Caenorhabditis elegans: one gene and its partners. The protein of the gene in region 1 interacts with the protein of each later gene in a pairwise test. Each region holds a gene or a part of one and is shown in the gene's direction. Other genes may lie near its edges. The genes, in order: C18B2.4, lys-8, cth-2 and lys-1.

Evidence for each region.
Region 2: the proteins of C18B2.4 (region 1) and lys-8 interact in a two-hybrid assay, tested with the Caenorhabditis elegans proteins (one large-scale study listed by BioGRID).
Region 3: the proteins of C18B2.4 (region 1) and cth-2 interact in a two-hybrid assay, tested with the Caenorhabditis elegans proteins (one large-scale study listed by BioGRID).
Region 4: the proteins of C18B2.4 (region 1) and lys-1 interact in a two-hybrid assay, tested with the Caenorhabditis elegans proteins (one large-scale study listed by BioGRID).

Annotation. Positions count from the first base shown.
Region 1 is NC_003284.9:3,603,264-3,607,745, reverse strand, and holds C18B2.4 (GRAM domain-containing protein), read left to right. Parts: upstream 1-2,004; 5' UTR 2,005-2,011; coding exon 2,012-2,073; intron 2,074-2,142; coding exon 2,143-2,245; intron 2,246-2,365; coding exon 2,366-2,479; intron 2,480-2,529; coding exon 2,530-2,647; intron 2,648-2,695; coding exon 2,696-2,857; intron 2,858-2,904; coding exon 2,905-3,236; 3' UTR 3,237-3,455; downstream 3,456-4,482. Other genes in the region: C18B2.5 (G domain-containing protein), read left to right, coding at 1-114, 766-867; C18B2.3 (uncharacterized protein), read right to left, coding at 3,599-3,620, 3,666-3,769, 4,320-4,482.
Region 2 is NC_003280.10:5,583,932-5,588,506, forward strand, and holds lys-8 (LYSozyme), read left to right. Parts: upstream 1-2,246; 5' UTR 2,247-2,247; coding exon 2,248-2,498; intron 2,499-2,806; coding exon 2,807-3,083; intron 3,084-3,279; coding exon 3,280-3,612; 3' UTR 3,613-3,720; downstream 3,721-4,575. Other genes in the region: C17G10.13 (THAP-type domain-containing protein), read right to left, coding at 3,772-4,341, 4,392-4,575.
Region 3 is NC_003280.10:7,055,684-7,060,812, reverse strand, and holds cth-2 (Putative cystathionine gamma-lyase 2), read left to right. Parts: upstream 1-2,852; 5' UTR 2,853-2,869; coding exon 2,870-2,944; intron 2,945-2,992; coding exon 2,993-3,614; intron 3,615-4,015; coding exon 4,016-4,497; 3' UTR 4,498-4,629; downstream 4,630-5,129. Other genes in the region: ZK1127.3 (EAF7 family protein), read right to left, coding at 4,765-4,887, 4,929-5,129.
Region 4 is NC_003283.11:10,275,420-10,279,806, forward strand, and holds lys-1 (Lysozyme-like protein 1), read left to right. Parts: upstream 1-2,484; 5' UTR 2,485-2,488; coding exon 2,489-2,950; intron 2,951-3,144; coding exon 3,145-3,579; 3' UTR 3,580-3,637; downstream 3,638-4,387. Other genes in the region: Y22F5A.11 (uncharacterized protein), read right to left, coding at 1-79, 130-158.

The DNA of each region.
Region 1 (4,482 bases):
GAATACTACAAAGTTAACAACTCGGGATTCGCACCACTCCCAACAGGAATTTCCAAACTTCAACATAATCTCTACTGGACACACGGAACAGCTTCGTTGGAGAATCTTTTCAGAGTAAATATTATGGGTTGGGGAAGTGAAATTTAAAACTGAAAATACTAGGTGTCTCAGTCTGCGTATTTAACTCGGTTTAGTTGAAAATAACTGAAAATAGTACACTTTATTTGAAAAGTAATTTTGGCTTTCAAAAATCATCTTTCAAAAATCATCACATGAAAGCAAAGAACATAAGTATAAATTGAGGCGTCTCAAGATTATTTTTCAACCCGTCCGGGATCAAATTCAATTCAAACTTATATTGAAAAACGTATGCAGAAAAAACTGTATCTGATGAAACTTTAACATATTTTGAACTCCAACTTCAGCATAATTTTAATTTATTTCATATGTATGGGAAGGCTTTCAAATATTCAAAATAGAAAACTTTCCATGAAAACTATTCCGGTTTTTATAGTAATTATGACATAAAATTTTTCAAATGTGCTTATGAACATTTAAATAATTTTTTTAAACATATTTATATATTTTTGTTTTCGGTTTAGTTCTAAGCTTTTTTCATATCAAGTTTTTAACTCATATTAACTCACTTTTCAAAATTGTATTAATAATGTTCGAATGTGAGAGATGATATTAATTTTTGCGGTTTTGATAGGTCAGCTTATTATCTATGCTTCTGAAACTACCTTATTAAATCTTTCACTTCAGGATTTGCAAGAAACTGTCCACCCACTAGTTGCCATCCTCCGACACAACAAGGGACAAAAAGTCGAACAAGCTCCAGTGTTTGCTGATAAAGTGTTGTATTAAAAAACAATTTATTATTATTAGTATTATTATTTGTGTTTTCTGATTCAATGGTTTCAATTTAATCTCCGATCCACTCATTTTGTATTTATTGTTCGACTTAACATTTTTATCCAACGCGACTCGATAAACATTCCCTATCAATCGTTTTTTTTGTTTTTCAGCTTCATTTCTTTTCGCTAAGGAACTAATATAATTTTTGGCAGAATAATATTGTTCATTGATATTTAAATCAAAAATACAAATAATATTATAGGAAATTCTAGAAATTTCGACATATCAGTTAAGAGGAACGCTATTACAAGTGTCAAGTTTTACAAATATGATTACCTAGTGTATAAAACGAATTTCAGGAAATTTTAATTTTCAAAGTGTACAGAGAAAGCCTAGATTGATAGATACTATCACTTTCAAAAGTTCCTTAAAATTCAAAGCAAATGATGATACTCATTTTAAAGTGAATTAAAATTGTGAACATAACATTCGAACTTTTTGGAGCTTAGGCCGGATAATAATGTGTTGAACTATACAGAAACAAAAAAGAAACATTTGAATACTTTGGAGTACATCTACTTTAAAAACCAGAAAAGTTTCAAATGAATTCACCAAATTTTTAAGAGTCTTTCAAATTAACATAATAAATGTTCTCTTATTTATTTATTTTAACTTTCACCACAAATTGTTCAACAAATTAATACAACTACTTGTTTTTTTTCCAGAAATGTTTAAATACACGACCAAAATCGACTCAAAATTTTCCAAAAGTAGCTCGTTGCCTAATTACCTTTATTTCCCGGCAATTCTGCCCTTATAATAATAAACCTTCATATTCATGATTAATGGCATCGATACTCCCCTCTCTATCTAATGGCAAACACTATTTGTCTTTCGCCACTCACCACTCACTAGAGAGCCATGACTTGTGAGAGACGCAGAAAACAAGGCAATGGAAAACGCGCTCCATTGCGGGTCTCGGGGTCGTGAGTCAGTGTTGGCTACCCTCGCCGTATGAAAACGTTGCCATCACGCCATTCCATGCCGTTTTTCGTCGATTTCGTGTATTTCGCAATTCCCGATCTGCTCATTAATTCCATTTTCCTCCTTAAAAAGCAGTATTTTTGATTTTTTTTTGTTCTTCAGCAGCACCATGTCGCTCAACACGTCGCACACACCCGATGGCCAAGGCATTTTGATTTATAATGGAGAAATGTAAGTTTTTTAAATTCTTTCTCAAAACTGATTCTTTTCAAATTATGAAATAAGTTTTTATAATTTCAGGATTCTTCTCTACACAACAAATGTAAAGCTGAAGTTCGAGAAGTACAATGTTCCTGCGTTCAAGTCCACCAAGTCGGGAGCCCTCTATCTCACTTCACACAGAGTGAGTTTTAAAGTTTTTGAGTTGCAAATTTTCATTTCTGGATAGGTTTTTTTTTTCATTTTAGCTGAAAACCAAAACGTTTGATCCTAAATTTCAAATATTTCAACTTTATTTTTTCAGATAATTTTCATGAACGAGAGCAAGAAAGATGAGTTCAAATCCTTCGCGATGCCATTCAATTCAGTGCGAGATGTGAAACTTGAACAGCCACTTCTCACCCCAAACTATCTCAAGGTTTTTTTTTCAATCTTAAATGACTTGCAGTCACATTTTTAATTTTTCAGGGATGGGTTCAACCAATGCCTGGAGGCAACTTTGATGGATGTCCGGAATGGCGTTTGTCTTTCCCGAAAGGAGGATGCATCGAGTTTGGAGAGGCACTTCTTCGCGCTGCTGACATGGGTACGATTGTCTTGAATAGTTCCCATCAATGTTTTGGTTCTGTTTCAGCATCTAGAGCTCGTCCATTTGCTGCTCCACCAGCATATGGTGGAAATATGCAACAGCAATCAGGCACTACGTACTATGCTGCTCCACCGACATACTACTTGGTGCAAGGGACATACCAAGGATTCCAAGCTCCGACGAACGTTTTTCCTGAGCGCCCACCTGGTAAGATTTATGACGTAGTAATTTCTTCGAAACAAATTGTTTTCCAGCACAAAACGTCTACGTTTACGACATGCCTCCACCATACCCAGGAATCGGACAAACCACGCCGTATCCTGCCGGACAATTCCAGCCAGTCGGAACCGTCCAGTACCAGAATGTTGGGGCGTACCCTGGACAACCTCAACAGCCAGGACAATACCATCCTTATCCAACTAATCAACCACCGCAGGGAGGATTCAACGTCGGACAAGGAGCTGCTCCTCATCCTTCTACTCTTCCAGATTATAACAATATTCAACAACAATCTAGCGCTCAGCCACCAGCCTACAATGCTTACCAAGAAGCTCCACCACTTCCATCCAAAAATGGACCGTTGTAAAGTTTTAATTTATCCGCTTAAAGCTTATGAGCTTGTATTTTTCAAAAGTTCGTGGCTTTTCGACTCTTCAATCCAATGATTCCCGTCCTCGCTTTGTCCGTCTCCCCGCATGTTTATATACAACGGTGATGTTTAATTTACTGAATGAATGTAATTATTTTGATTTTATTGGAATATCAATTAAAGTATAAAACAAGAAAAAAAAGAATAACTGAACCGAGCTGCTCATCGCACTTTGTTAAACACCAAACAAAATGCGAAAACGGCGTCAAGAAGTCGTGTAGAAAGAACATATCGTGAATGTTGAATCGCGATGGAAAAATGTTGAAGTCGATGAAATGGATCAGAAGGTTTTAGAAAATTTAATAAACGCGTCCTCCAAGTCTGAATTAAGAATAATTAATTTACCAAAAACTAAAACCTCAGTACCTGTCAAATCGGCTAGAGTAAGAGTAGTTTCCACGGCTGAGAGATGACGAGAGGTTGAGCTCCTTCTCGCGACGGGAAGCCCAAGTAGCTGGTGAAAGCCAGTACTAAAATAGATTGCACTTCATTTTATTAAAAAATAATACTTGTGCAGAGTGAGTATCCAGTTGTGAGGCTTTTAATAAACCCGAATTTTGGTTTTTTTTTAAATTGAGTTTTAAAAGATTATATCTAGGCTCAAGTGTGAGTAAGAAATAAATGAGTATATACAAAACTCTAGAAAACTGGATAATACATATTTTTAGTTCAGCCAGTAATCAATTTTTGAATAATACAAAAGACAAATATGTATCGCCAAAACTAATCAAATTAATGAAAAAGAAATATTAATTTGTAATTCACTTAAAGCATGTTTTTCAATACTCCTATTGAATGAATATTGCCATCAAGCTTTATTTTTAATTTTCTAGAAACTGCAAAATACATTTTCAACTGACTGAGGATAAAAAACCGAATTATATTTTTCTTCAAAATTCAATGACTCTATGGATTTCTTAATTTATGCGGTGCCTACAAGAAACTGCTAAGATATTTAATAAACTCGAAAATGCAAGACTAATGGAGAAAATACAACAGTAGTCTAAAAAATTGCGTTACCTTCGACAACGTTCCAACTGTCATACATCTCTTCTTGTACATATCCAAGGCGTCATCAACTGGCATATATCGGACGTAGCTTCTTGCTGATGCTAGTGGTCTCTCAACACGTTTTTGGTAGTCGGGACGGGTGAAAAGAGAGGTGTTATAGGCATTGAGCTTT
Region 2 (4,575 bases), on another chromosome or scaffold:
TTGAACAAATCTTCACAACACTCGTAAATCTGATGAGACGTGGAAACGGGACGGTTGATATGGAAGTAATATACATTCTACTTTAATTACTTTGCTCAACCACACATATTTTAGAACATTGTAAGCGAGAAAGGACAAACGGCAGCGGAGAAGCTGAACAAGGAAGTACAGTTGACTCAAAACAACTGGAAAACGGACACAAAGTTGCAACCAGCAATGAACGATGCAATTGCAAAGAATGCGGTCGTTCTGGCATCAGCTGAAAGAAACTTGCAGACTCGAGGGCCCAAGCATCTCAAAAGAGTCAAAAAGTTTCTTTACGGTCAATATCCAAAGGTTTGTTATCAGGAATCAATATTCAAAGCTCTAGTTTCTTCAGAAGTTTTTCATAAATGTAACCATAAAGTTTCACTTTTCAGTATGTGGATATGAAGAGAGATCTGCTGAAGGTTGTCAAACAACAGAAGCCGGAAACCCAAAGTGTTCGCGATGAAAGTGCTCAAGCGATTTCGAAGTTCATCAAGGAAAAGTATGTGAATGCCAAAATATTGCATCTCGGAGAAATTCAAAGTGCTTTCGTCGAGTTGAGCGTTAGTTTTTTTTGAATATATTATTTATTTACACAAATTATCATTTCAGTTTTTCCATCGTACATCCGCTTTCACTTGGCATCAAATCGCTGAACGACAACCTCCAAAGTCTTCATATCACACCGAGAACTTCGACTTTCAACAATTCTTCACAGCACCTCCAAAAATGTAAACTTTGACGTCACCAATGATTTTTTTATGATGATTTATGATAATAAAGTGAGAGAGAAATGTGTGTGTATTCAGAAGGAAAAAACATAAGTAAATACAGGAAGAAGCTAAAAAAGAATATATATTCGTTTTTTTACGATATCATTGAATTTCTGATTTTTCAATTTTCAAAGGAACATTGGATATAGAACAAGCTATATGATATCTGGAACATCAAAATGTGGCATAATATTAAAAGTAATGAAATAGGCGGTAGGCACATAGACAGGCAGGCGGGCAGTAGGATCACGAAAGAAATACAGAACATCGACGACAGGCATGAAGGTAGACATGTGGCAGGCAAGTACGGATGGAAACTAAAATACTGAAAACCCAATGTAGGTAGGAGAGCCTAAAGAGGTCCCTGGATATAATTGAAGCCACTTTAAAGTTAAGTAAATATACGTTAACTGAAGAATTCAACAATTTGGCCAAGAATTAGTTGAAATTAATAATGGATCAAAAATCTTCAAAGTTTTTAGAAAATACCAATAATTGGCTTCAGGACTAAAATTTATCGTTTTTGTTATTTGTTCAATGAATAGACAGACACGTCACTTTTCATTATCAAATACTAAATTGATCTCGAAATGGATCTACAATTTCAGCTGTTTCAACAATTCGAATTCTTTACTCTCTGTTCCTCTGGAAATGACATCACTTCTTAAACTCGTCATCTTCGTTTTTATTCCATCCAAAGACAAATCTCGACTAATTGAATTCACATTAAAAATAGATTAATGATTTTTAAACAATTGGATTGCTCACAGGGGCTATCGTTGGATGTTAGTACAGTTTAAACAGACATGTTAAACGGTAAAAATATAGTGAAATGGGAAAAATTATGGAACAAGAAGGAGAATGTTTATTCAGCTGCAAATGGGATTTTTGTATAAAAGAATTGGTATAGTGCTGAAGGAGAATATCATACATTTTACAGTTCTAGTTTTCAAGAACTTTCAATTTTCTTCGCTGTTATGGTCAAAGTTGAACGTAAAACATATGCATAATCGCTTTGAAAATCTTACCACTATCTGTTAGTCAGAAAAAAATTGTGTTCACTTATGAACTATCAATTTAATAAAAGACAACAAATTGTCATTTACGAGAATTTGAACCTAGAAAAAATCATCAAAACGCCCACGCTCAATTACCGGTATTCCACATAATTTGTGATGTTCTTTTCATCGACATTAATGACATAAAAGTGTGTACACAGTTACTGATAACAGAGTGTGATATCATGATAATGTTTTCCGAAATTATAAATTCAGATGGACAAGCGGTACTTGCCAGCTCTTTGATAAAGACTATAAATCATGATAACCACTCCAGTTTCTTCAACATTTCGGTTTAGTATTTGATTTTTATAAAATTTGGTTTCTTATTCTTTGTTCTTTTTGTTAATAATTTTCTCTTAACTCATTCAAGTTGAACATTTTCTAGAATGCTTCTCAAATCAGTGGCTCTTTTGTCAGTACTGGCAGTACTTTGCCATTCGGCTTCAGTCTCCGTCAAGGTCCTTCCATTCGTTGACTCATCTCTTCCAGTCAAATTCAGAGAAGTCATTGCTGAGGCTGCTCCACGAGTTCCACCAAATTTGGCTTCATATGCTTTCGCTGTTGATTTGTCTGTTCCAGTTTCATTGAGCCAGCTTCAGTGCCTCAAACAAGCTGGTTATTCGGCAGTCTTTGTCCGGTAAGAATTGAAAAAGATTTTATGATTTACCTATCTATAAATTGTTATTTATAAAAAAAAGTTGAATCTTTTTTTGCCCAAGGTTGGCCCAAGTGTAAAGATATTGTCAACAGTTGAATTAAACTTGAGCTAAACCAGAACAAGTTCTGGTCATGTATTGTCACTTCAGAACCTTTTTAATATTTTTGGCCAAACTTGGGCAAACATTTGCCTGCTTTCGTTTCTGATTAATTCATTTTTCGATTCCAAACGTTCATAATTTGATGAACATTTTCTAAAACTCCATAACAATTAAATCGAATTTCCAGTGCATACAACCCAGCTGGACAAGGATCCTTCGACACCAACTCCTGCAATACTATTCAGAATGCGTATAACGCTGGACTCGGAACAGAGATCTACATGACTCCACAGCCGGCTTCAAGCAAGCAAGGATACCAACAATTGGATGAGATCTACCAAGGATTGACTGCAAGAGGAATAACAATCAGATCTGTATGGATCCAGGTCACTTCTCCAACCAACTGGCCAAGCAATGCTAATAACAATGTCAACTTTATCAACAGTATTGTGTCAAGAGCTAGAGTAAGTTTCCTGTAGAAGCTTGATTTTTTGCTCAAGGAATTGAAATACATTCAAATACGAAAACTCGAATGATTCGTATTATAGTCTAAAACATTGATTAATCTGATAAGACCTTTGGGTTAAGACGTTTTTAAACTGAACCGATTAGTTCATACTTCTGCAACAAATTTCATATCAAAATTCATATAATTTACAGCAATATGGAATGACTGTCGGAATCTACACTTCCTACTACGACTGGAACCAGATCACCAACGGATGGAGCAGCATTGGAAATGATGTTCTCCTCTGGTACTGGAATGTCCTTGGAGGTGGTGTCAATGGAGAGACCCCGGCCAGTTTTGCTGATTTCCGCGCGTTCGGATGCTGGACTACTCCATCTGTCAAACAATTCGCTCAAGTTGAGCAAGTTTGCCAGTTCACTGTCAACAGAGATGTTTATGCTGCTGGAACTATGCTCAAGGCCGCTGACGCTGTTGAAGAGGATGGAAAGATCTACGCTGGAGGATTCATTCAAGGAAGTCAATAGATTTTATCAGTTCCGAAAATAAGTGGAATTTGACTACTTATATTTTGTATCTAACTGTACCCCCAATATGTTATGAAAATCTGAAAATAAAGTTTATTACAAAAAAACAAAACACGAGAATCTAAAAACAAATAACAACAAAACAATGCGAGCTTGGCTCTAATTTTCTATATCTATTTCCGAGTCCGTTCCCTTTTCCATTTTGATATTCGTATTGTCTTCTTTGACTTCAACGAACGTGTTTCCTTCAAGCTTGAATGCCAGTACTTTCTCCTGGGAAACAACATTTGGAACAGCTGTTTTAAGAAGTCGTCCACGAGAACTGAAATCCGCTTGCGGGAAATGTTTTCGACACATGTAATTTGCAGGTTTCATTCGAAGACGTATACGGAATTGTTCTCCTAATATTGCCACCCATCTGGCAATTCGTTGCTCGGTTTTTGGAACTTGCGTCATGTATCGCTTTTCGTACACTTCCAAGCAGTAGCAGCATTGTAGTGGATGTTCCATGTTTTGGTTAATCATTGTATATGATCTATTTGGAAGACTGGGTGTGGTTTTCTTGATAATTCGAAGAATTGAAGATGAACACGAATCTTCTTCAAGTTTCTGTTTTCTCGGCTGTCGGAAACATTTAGGTAAAATTCCATTCACAGCAGTCGTGGATGAACACTCGACAGTCTCTTCAAATGGAATATCCTCTTCTTTTATTATTGGACCGGTCACAGCCTGTAATATTTTCATATTTTTCACTAGAATCAATTTTCTAAACAACTCACCCCGGCTTCTGGATGGTTTAGAACAAACATGTAAGCTGAATGAATAAGCTTATCCTCCTCAAACTGTTTTCCCATCAAATGACTCGCGAACTTTTCGACTTGAGACACTTTTCTCGGACGGGCTCGGAATATTCTTAAAGCGCCGCCCACACCGAACATATTCAAAATCGCTGTCGACGCCTCC
Region 3 (5,129 bases), on another chromosome or scaffold:
AGCTGAAAATAGAAAATTACACTGATATTTTCAAAAATTCTAGGAATTTTAAATGTCCTCTGCATTCTGAACTTGAAATTGTCAAATATCAATTTTCTTTTTCAGTTTTCTATTTTTCAAAGAGCTCTTCAACTTTCAAAAGTCCCCATCCATCCGACCAGTAGTTTTTTGTAAAGTATATCATTTCTCTTCATCTCTCAATCATTATGATCTCTAACTCTTCACATCTATCAACATTCTCCATTCCTTCCAAACGGCTGATGCAACTGTCTGCCGCGTGCCGCTCAGATTGAGGGGCGGGAGGTGAGCGGACGCAAAGCAGCGTCCATATAAATTTGCGCAGGAGCATTCACTAGACATGCCATTCTGACCTTTTTCCTCTCTATGTCTATTTAATTTTCAAATCGTAAAAATTTTATAATTTTATCAAGTGAGTAGCACATGGCGAGGTTGGTTTGTTATCTTGAAATTGAAATTAAATTTGAATTTCTGCTGACAAATGTTTTTGAGATAGTGACGTATGTGTCACTGAACTCTTATCAATTGTTGACATACTTAATGAAAAAAACGGAGAATCAAACTTCAATAATCTTTTGCTGTTCTACTTCTTAATATGATATAAGTAAGTATGTTCACAGACCTTTAAAAAATCATTTTTTGTCTACTTTTTCTAGTATCCAGAATACATAAATTGCTTATTATTATTAAAATTAAAAGGTGGGCTTAATTTTTACGACAGTATAGACATGAAACATTTTAAATTTTCGATTTTCAGCCAAGTTCCGGTTGGTTTAAGAATACGAGGTCACCTTCAGAATGTTCTGATAGAATTGAAAATAGCTTTCAAAATAATTATTTATTTGAGGTTTATTAGATCCTTCAGTGAATGTTTTGGCAAATTCGGCAACAACTCCACATTTTTACACCTTTGGTGAAAATTATTAATCTAGTTAGTTAATCTAGTTAATCTAAAATTATGGGTACTTATACATTTAAAAAATTAATTTTTCATTCAAGTAGCAAATTGGTAAAACCTGCTTTCTGATCACAAGCAATAAAATGTAAACCTACTGGTAGCAACTCTACCTATTTCTAAATCTAGAAGAAAATGCAATTGATCAATAAATTGAAACTTTCGCTTTCTTTTTCCTCCTCCTCCAAATTCAAGACTTCCTGCAAATGAAATGTCGTCTCAAATCTTATCTTTTCCACGCCAAGGTTGCCAATTAAAAAACACGTCACAATTATCATCATTTCTATGTATTCAATCCCTATCTGCCTCTTCCAAATGATATTTTGAACTTGAACTCTCTCCTTCTGGTGCCCTTTGTCCAACTGCTCGAGACACACATGTGGCTGGTTTGCAGTAGACACAACGAGAGAATGAGACAAATTCTTCTCTCTTTTTGATAACGAAAAAATGATACGAGACATAGAGAAATCGATGCTTTGAGGATTTGATTTCATCGACATGTTTCTCAAACAAAATACCACATGGTAGACCTCCACGTGGGGTGATTGGCACTGGAATTTGAACTTTTTGAAAAAAAAAACTGTAACATGTGATAAATATTATATCAACTAAACGAAGGAACAAAATAAACATTAAGATAGTGTTCAAACTGCACAATTACGTGATTTCAGTTAATTTAAAATTCCTTCAAGACTTTGGAAACTCTAATAGTAAGTCACGTCAAACTGTGTTATCTTTTGTTTCAAGATCGTCATTAGTAAATACATTTATGATTACTGACTTTCATAGTTTGTAAAAAAAAATAATTGCAGCAAGAACTCTTTGTGAACTTGAGCTGATACATTGTCATGATACTGTTGGCCTACTGTAGTTTGTATGCAGAGCCAGTGGAGATTTTCAAAAAAACTCATCTTATGGTGCTAAAATATAGAAATTTTTATACATCCTTAAATGTTTTCGGAAATTTCTATTATTTATACAACGTTGTAATTACTTAAGTTAGTTCTCTTCTATCCTTTTGGAAGTCGATCAAAATAACATTTTCCACGATTTTTAAGTTTTTACTATAAAAACAAATATTAGTAGGGAGGGATAGGGTCGGGGTACTGTAGGATTAATGTATTTTTGTAGAAACCTCTGTTTCTATTAAAATGTTTCTATTACTAGTATTAGGCCAATTCATGTTAAAAATTAAGATTCTGGTTCGTAGAATGTGACTTGACATTATACAATTCAAATTCCGAACTTTTCAAAAAATACTATAGAATTTACAAATATTCAGCTGTTCACGAAAAAACCATATTTGAGCAATAAAAATTGTTTTTAACCAACATATAAAAACACCACAGAATCCCCAGAAATGTCAAATTTATTACCAAACTTGTGCCAAATACATATTATTTTTTGAAGTATGAAAAATACGCCACCTATCAGTCGTTAATCTTATCTTTTATTTTTCAAATTTCTCAATTTCCCACGCTTCTTCTCATATCCGGTTTTTTCTGCAAAATGGTCTCGTTTGGAGATTTGATAAGAGTGTTTATTCCAGATGTGTACATCATTCAATAGTATCAAACATTGTTCATTCCTTCTTTGCACATCACTATTTATTTTTCTTCTTTTCTTCCGTTTTTAACATCTTGTTTGCCTAATCAGCTACATTCTGTAAAATCTAAAAATAATAGAAGATTAACGTCTTTTTGACCAATGTCAAGAACGTTTTTTTCTTTAACGATTTCATTGAAACTTTCGGCGTGTCGACCGACCCTTCGTTTGACCCCGCCCCTTTCATTCGTTCTTTTTTCTTTTCTCTCCTCTTTCTCTCACACTTATAAATCCATTTGATTATCATTTCTCGACATCAGTCTTCTTATTGCAGCCTGTCTCAAGATTAAAATGGCTACTTTCCCACACTTCGGAACTGCTGCTATCCACGTTGGACAAGAACCAGAGCAATGGGATATGAATCAGGTTTGTCATAGGTATTCTGAATATAAATACTGAACTGATACTTTTCAGGTGGTCCCGCCAATCAGCTTGTCCTCGACCTACAAACAGGATAATCCAGGAGAGCCAAAGGGACACGATTATTCTCGTGCTGGAAACCCAACTCGTGATGTTCTTCAAAAGAATCTGGCTGCTCTCGAAGACGCAAAACACTGCCAAGTGTTCTCTTCAGGACTTGCCGCAACTTCCGCAATCATCAATCTTCTCAAGTACGGAGATCATATTGTGTGCTCTGATGATGTCTACGGAGGTACTCAAAGATATATCCGCCGTGTTGCTGTTCCTAATCACGGATTGGAAGTCGATTCGGTTGATTTGACGGATGTTCAGAATCTCGAGAAAGCAATCAAACCAAATACCAAGATGGTTTGGTTTGAATCTCCATCTAACCCACTTTTGAAGGTTGTTGATATTGCCGCAGTGGTCCAAACTGCAAAGAAAGCCAATCCAGAAATTGTTGTAGTTGTTGATAATACCTTCATGTCTCCATACTTCCAACGCCCAATTTCTCTTGGAGCGGATGTTGTCGTTCATTCAATTACCAAGTATATTAATGGACATTCTGATGTTGTTATGGGTGCTGTTATCACTGATAATGACGAGTTCCAACAACATCTTTTCTTCATGCAACTTGGTTAGTTTACTGTGCTGTTGTACGCAGTGAAATCTAGTCGTATAATTTTGTCATTTTGAGGCATAGATACGGTAACCGGTCTTGAAGCTAGTGAAACTTGGCAGCTACTGTATTCGCAAGTGCTTCGAATTTTTTCTTAACGGTTTTCACTGAATTTCAATATTAATTTCTTCGTGTTTTTCTAGAAAAGAAATCAGTTTCTCTGCTTTAGAAATCATATAAAATACATTGGAACTATAAAAAAAATTGCTAAATACTTGTGGGTACTGTAGAAGCAAAGTTTCGCTCATATCGAGAACATGTACCTTGAGTCAAATGTCGCAAAATTATAAAACTGTTTAAAATCTCATTGGATAGCTAAATTAATCGTTAACTCAAAATTTTAATGCTATTATTTTCAGCCGTCGGAGCAGTCCCATCTCCATTTGATTGCTTCCTTGTTAATCGTGGACTCAAAACTCTTCACATCAGAATGAGAGCTCACTATGAAAATGCTCTTGCTGTTGCCAAATACCTTGAAGCCAATGATCGTATCGAATCAGTTCTCTATCCAGCTCTTCCATCTCATCCACAACATGAAGTTCATGAGAAACAAACAAAGGGAATGTCTGGAATGATCTCATTCTATCTTAAAGGAGAACTTCAAGAGAGTCGTGCTTTCCTTTCTGCTCTCAAAGTATTCACTTTGGCTGAATCTCTTGGAGGATATGAATCACTTGCCGAGCTTCCATCTATCATGACTCATGCTTCAGTGCCTGCTGAAACTCGAATTGTTCTTGGAATCACTGATAACCTTATCCGTATCTCTGTTGGAATTGAAGATCTCGATGATTTGGTTGCTGATTTGGATCAAGCTTTGAAGATTGCCATTCCAAAAGTATAACTTTTCAATCATTTTATGATATGCATTTGTTTCAAATCTGAAAGCCGGTACTAGTTTTAATTGCCCACTCGTCTCCACCACAACCTCTAACTAATCGACTCAAATTGTGTCTTACACTATCCAATAAATTTTTTCTATGAAAAATGATAATTGTTATTCGAAACAGAAATTGGAATACATAACATGATATTTTGCAATTGGTATATGAAAGAAAGGTACACATTGAATTATAATTAGATAGCGTAGAAGGAATCATAGAGAGATCATTTAAGTTTGAATGTCATAATTTTCATCTTCTTCTGTCAATCTTCTGGGGATGGTACTCTTCTTTTCCGACTCGACGATCCCGTTGTCTGTGTTTCTTTCTCTTTCTGCTCTCTTATCTGAAAGCTATGAACAAAAATAAGCAATATCTATTGTTTCAAAATTACCTCGCGCACTTCAGCCATGATATACTCGGGAAGTTCGTAATCGGTGACACTATTAAACTCGCTTGGATACGATTCATTTTCTTCACAGAATCTCAGACCGAACCATTTTTTGAGCTTATCTTCGATCATTTCAAGTGAAGGACGACACAAGTATTTAGGCGGATATGAAGTTCGTTCTGGGCGTCCTCCCATCAAGAGGTC
Region 4 (4,387 bases), on another chromosome or scaffold:
CAGTGTATCGAAAATAAAATTTCCCCAGAGCCACTTGCTCCTTGTGCCGGTTAGTTGGCTGAAACTGAGAATCCCAATTCTAAAGTTCAAAATGTTCATTTTATCTATCTTCTTCTTCTGGCAAAATACATTTTCAGACGTTCTCTGTGCATACTCATGGAGAAGACATTTGCGGATTCTTTTCAGAACAAAAAATAAGAAGAGCAACAAAAAAGTAAAAGACGAATGGGACGATCAATGGAAAGAAAGAAGGAAAAGGAGAACTCGTAAAAAACGGGACGGGAAACCATCGGACACATAAAACACAGAGAAAAGGCGATGCTGAGAAGAGTTTTCGTGGAAGAAGAAAAAAGAAGACGAAGAAGAAAGAGAGCAACGGACAAAAACGGACGAATGCCCCGGAAATAATACACGAGTGCTCTGCGCCGGATGTCGACCGCTCGTTATTATGAATGCGTTTTTTCGCATCGTTGATGACATACCAACAGAGCAAAATAGGTGGACATGGGTTAAGAAAAGAGATGTACAGTTCATTAGGTTTTAATTGTTACGAAAGGGCATACATTTTCTGAAGCGACCTACAATACTAGAATTTTGAGCGTATAAAAGTCACAAAAGTCACTTAATCTCGCCTCGAACCGGCATGGTCACCTTCAATGTGAACCTTTATAGGTTTTTTGCGCATTCTGAAGGCTATAATACTGATTTCAAAAATATATGCACGTTATCATTTGTAAAAGATCGATTATTGAAACTCTCACCAAATCCATCTGCCTAGTAAGTGCAATTCATATATTTTCGAGTTTTGAGAATGCAGCTGGATTTTCATTTTGAGAGCACAAAATCCTAGGAAAGCGAATGAATGTTTGATCTCAGTATTTTTTGATTATTTTCTGTTGAGAGGTGTATTTGAAAGGGTTTAATGTTGTGCAATGTTTTTATAGCAGTTTATTTGTTTTTTAATGCCAATATTTGCTTTGTCTTCTGTAATTTATAAAACATCTATAAAAAATTGCTGATCCAGTTAAAAAGATCTTCATTATTCCTAAAACTGGGAAAAGTAAGGTACCGAAAATCTCTGATTCTTGATCTTCATTTCTAACTAGAAACCTCAAGATAGTCACCGATAAATATTCAAGTGAATTACGTTTTCTTCTTTTTTATCTAGGAATTCCCTCCGCTCAGCTATTTTAACCCTAACAGGCCACCTTACGTTTTTCTTCTTTTAATTTTCTTCGCAGGAAAACTCATTTGGATGCGAACGAGCTTCTATTTTTTCTGGGTTTGTCTTGTGATTGGCCAGGCACCGGAGCATAACTGACGAGATGTCGGTTCCAGAAAATAAGCGGAGAAAAGGAAAAAAAACGAAGAAAAGAATAGAAAAAAGGAAAGTTTGGTGAAGTGGCAAACGGGAAGAGTCCGTCAATTGTTGTCGAGAGGCGACCACATCCTTCTACTCTTCGTTTTCGAATTTTTGGAGCTTTTCGAATTGTGACAATGAAGGAATATGGATGGTGAAGAGCACAAGGGTGACCAAATATTTTATTGAAACGGAAAAAAATGGACAATGAATTTGGAATGTGGAAAAATTGGGCAATTGTTGAAGTTGTCACATGGGTTTTGATATTTGGAAGTGAAAGATCCTCTTCGTAGATTGCTAGACGTTAATCCGAAACCGACATTAAAGATGAAGCAGCCAGCCTGGAAATGATATTTCCATGAAGTAAAAGAAAGAAAATGAGAATATCTAATAAATAAAACACAAAGATCTATCGTTGTTTTTTATTCGGAATATCATGAAAAGATAAATCTAAACTTCAAATATAAATCAACCTTTGATTCTCAAATTGTCGGCAATATGGCTAACGTTGTCTGACCATGTATTGAAAATATGTAGTTCTTCGTCAACTCATGATAGAATGTTCGTCAAAACCAACAGAATAACATGTGAAAAGTGGGATGTAAATAAATTTAGTGACTCATCTAAGAAACTATCAGCAATAGCCGTTAGCGACTAGTGATATATGTCATAGCGTGCTAGTATTCTATTGACAGAATCGCATGAGTCATATTCACATTTGTAGAAGTATTTTATCAGAAACCTTCAGTTCCAACCGCTTTAAAATTCCCTGCCCAAATTGGTCGCGGAAAGAAATTTTGTTTTAAATGAAGAATGCTTCTTTTTTTGACTAATCGCATAACTAATTTTGGTAGAAATTATTTAAAAAGAGTACTTAATTTTATCATCAACTTTCCAGTTTCCAATTAATATAGTCTTGACATTTAATATTACTAACGCCCCCGAATGAATCTCTTTCACCCTACTCGTCACTTTTCTATCTCCACTGATTACCCTTATCACTGGACGTTTTCTTCTACTTAAACGAGCCGCCATCCATCACCGAATCATTAGATTTTCATTCTCTCAACCTTTTCGTTGGCACTTTTCTTCAAGTCAATATTATTTTCTGTTTTTTGTTTCAGAACCATGCTCAAGCTTGCTTTCGTTACTTTCCTTTTTGCTTTGGCTTCTGCTAGACCACAAGATGTCGACTCTAATAGAGTTGTAGCTCTTCCACAGGACAACTTCGAAGTGACTGATATTGGTTTCGAGAAGATCAAGGCCGAGCCAGCTCCGGAAGTTGTGAACAATGATGCTTCATATGCCTACGCAGTTGATATTTCTGTTCCAACAACAGTTTCTCAAATGAACTGCCTCAAGACATCCAGATATGCAGCTGTTTTCATCAGAGGTTTCACTCCATTTGGATCTGGAGCATTCGACACAACTTCAGTCACTTCTATCAGAAATGCTTATTCTGCTGGATTGGGAATTGAGGTCTACATGACTCCACAACCACTTTCTTCTCTTCAAGGATACCAACAACTTGATGCTCTTTATAACGGACTTAACGGAAATGGAATCACCATCAGATCTGTCTGGATTCAGGTTAGCTATATACAAGAAATATAAAAAACCTTGAACAATTAAAAGTTAAATTAGTTAAAATGTCATATGTGAAAAACTGGAAACAATGTACACTTAAACATTAAAATCTTCTTTCCGGAGATTATTTTTCAATTTTCAACTGATAAGAAATTTAATTCTCGACGATTATAGTCTATACACTTGAACTCTTTCAGGTTACCTCCCCAGCCAACTGGCAGAAGTCTGCAACTACTAATGTGAACTTCCTCAACAGCATTATTTCACGAGCCAAGCAATACGGACTGACTGTCGGAATCTACACCAACCAATACGACTGGAGCCAAATTACTGGAAACTGGGCAACTTTGAGCTCTGATGTTCTTCTCTGGTATTGGCATGTTCTTGGAGGTGGTGTTACTGGAGAGACTCCAGCTACTTTCGATGACTTCCGTGCATTCGGATCTTTCAAGAAGGCTTCTGTTAAGCAATTTGCTCAAGTTGAGTCTGTCTGCTCTTTGACCGTCAATCGTGATGTTTACGTTGTTGGAATCCCAGCTGCTGCTTCATCGAAAAACACTGATTTTTTCACTCAAGAGGACATCAGCAGCAACAACAAAAAGATTGTTGTTGGAGGAGTCATTGGAGTCTAAAATATTTATGTTGTGATCTCTTACCTATTTGTATTATTTCAATAAACAATCCTAGCTTTATTAAAATTTTATTTTAAAAAATACTGAAATATACCATATAACATACCAGATATATACCAGAAATTAAAATGAATGATCAGTAAAATTTTAATTGTGTCTTTTCGCATGACGATTTCACTTTATTTCTGAAGATTTTTGTGGAAATCGTTTCTATAAATATAATTTTGAAAAGTAAACATTTAAAAAGTTAAAATAGCCGTGGCATAAATGCTAATTGGCAGTGATTTCCTGTCCCTCACTAGGGAACGGTCAGAAGGTGCCCATCGGACTTGCATATGAGACCTATGCCATTCGATAGCCCATGTCTTAAAACAGTTACTCGTGAATTTTTAGCGGCAAAACTCCCGAACCAAGCTCACGGCGGGCTCTCAAAGATCTTAAAATAGCACTGTAAGGAAGAACTTTAACGATCTAACGAAGCAATTTTCCAATTTCACTTTGGTAGCTCATATCTCCGTAGATAAATTTTTTACAGAAAAGTCATCAACTGATAAGTTGTTGATTTTGTTGTAACAAACAAGTTTGTAATTAAAAGTTTTTTACCACAAAATTTTTGTTTGAGATAAAAGTGCGTGAAGTGCGGCAACTGGTGTTGTTATTTTTATGCTGCTATTCCGTTTCTAATGATTTTCTCGCAAACAAAAATTTTTTGGTAAAAAACTTTCAACTACAAACTTGTTCTTTACAACAATATCAACAACTTTTTAGTTGATGACTTTTCTGTAAAAAATTTATCTACGGAGATATG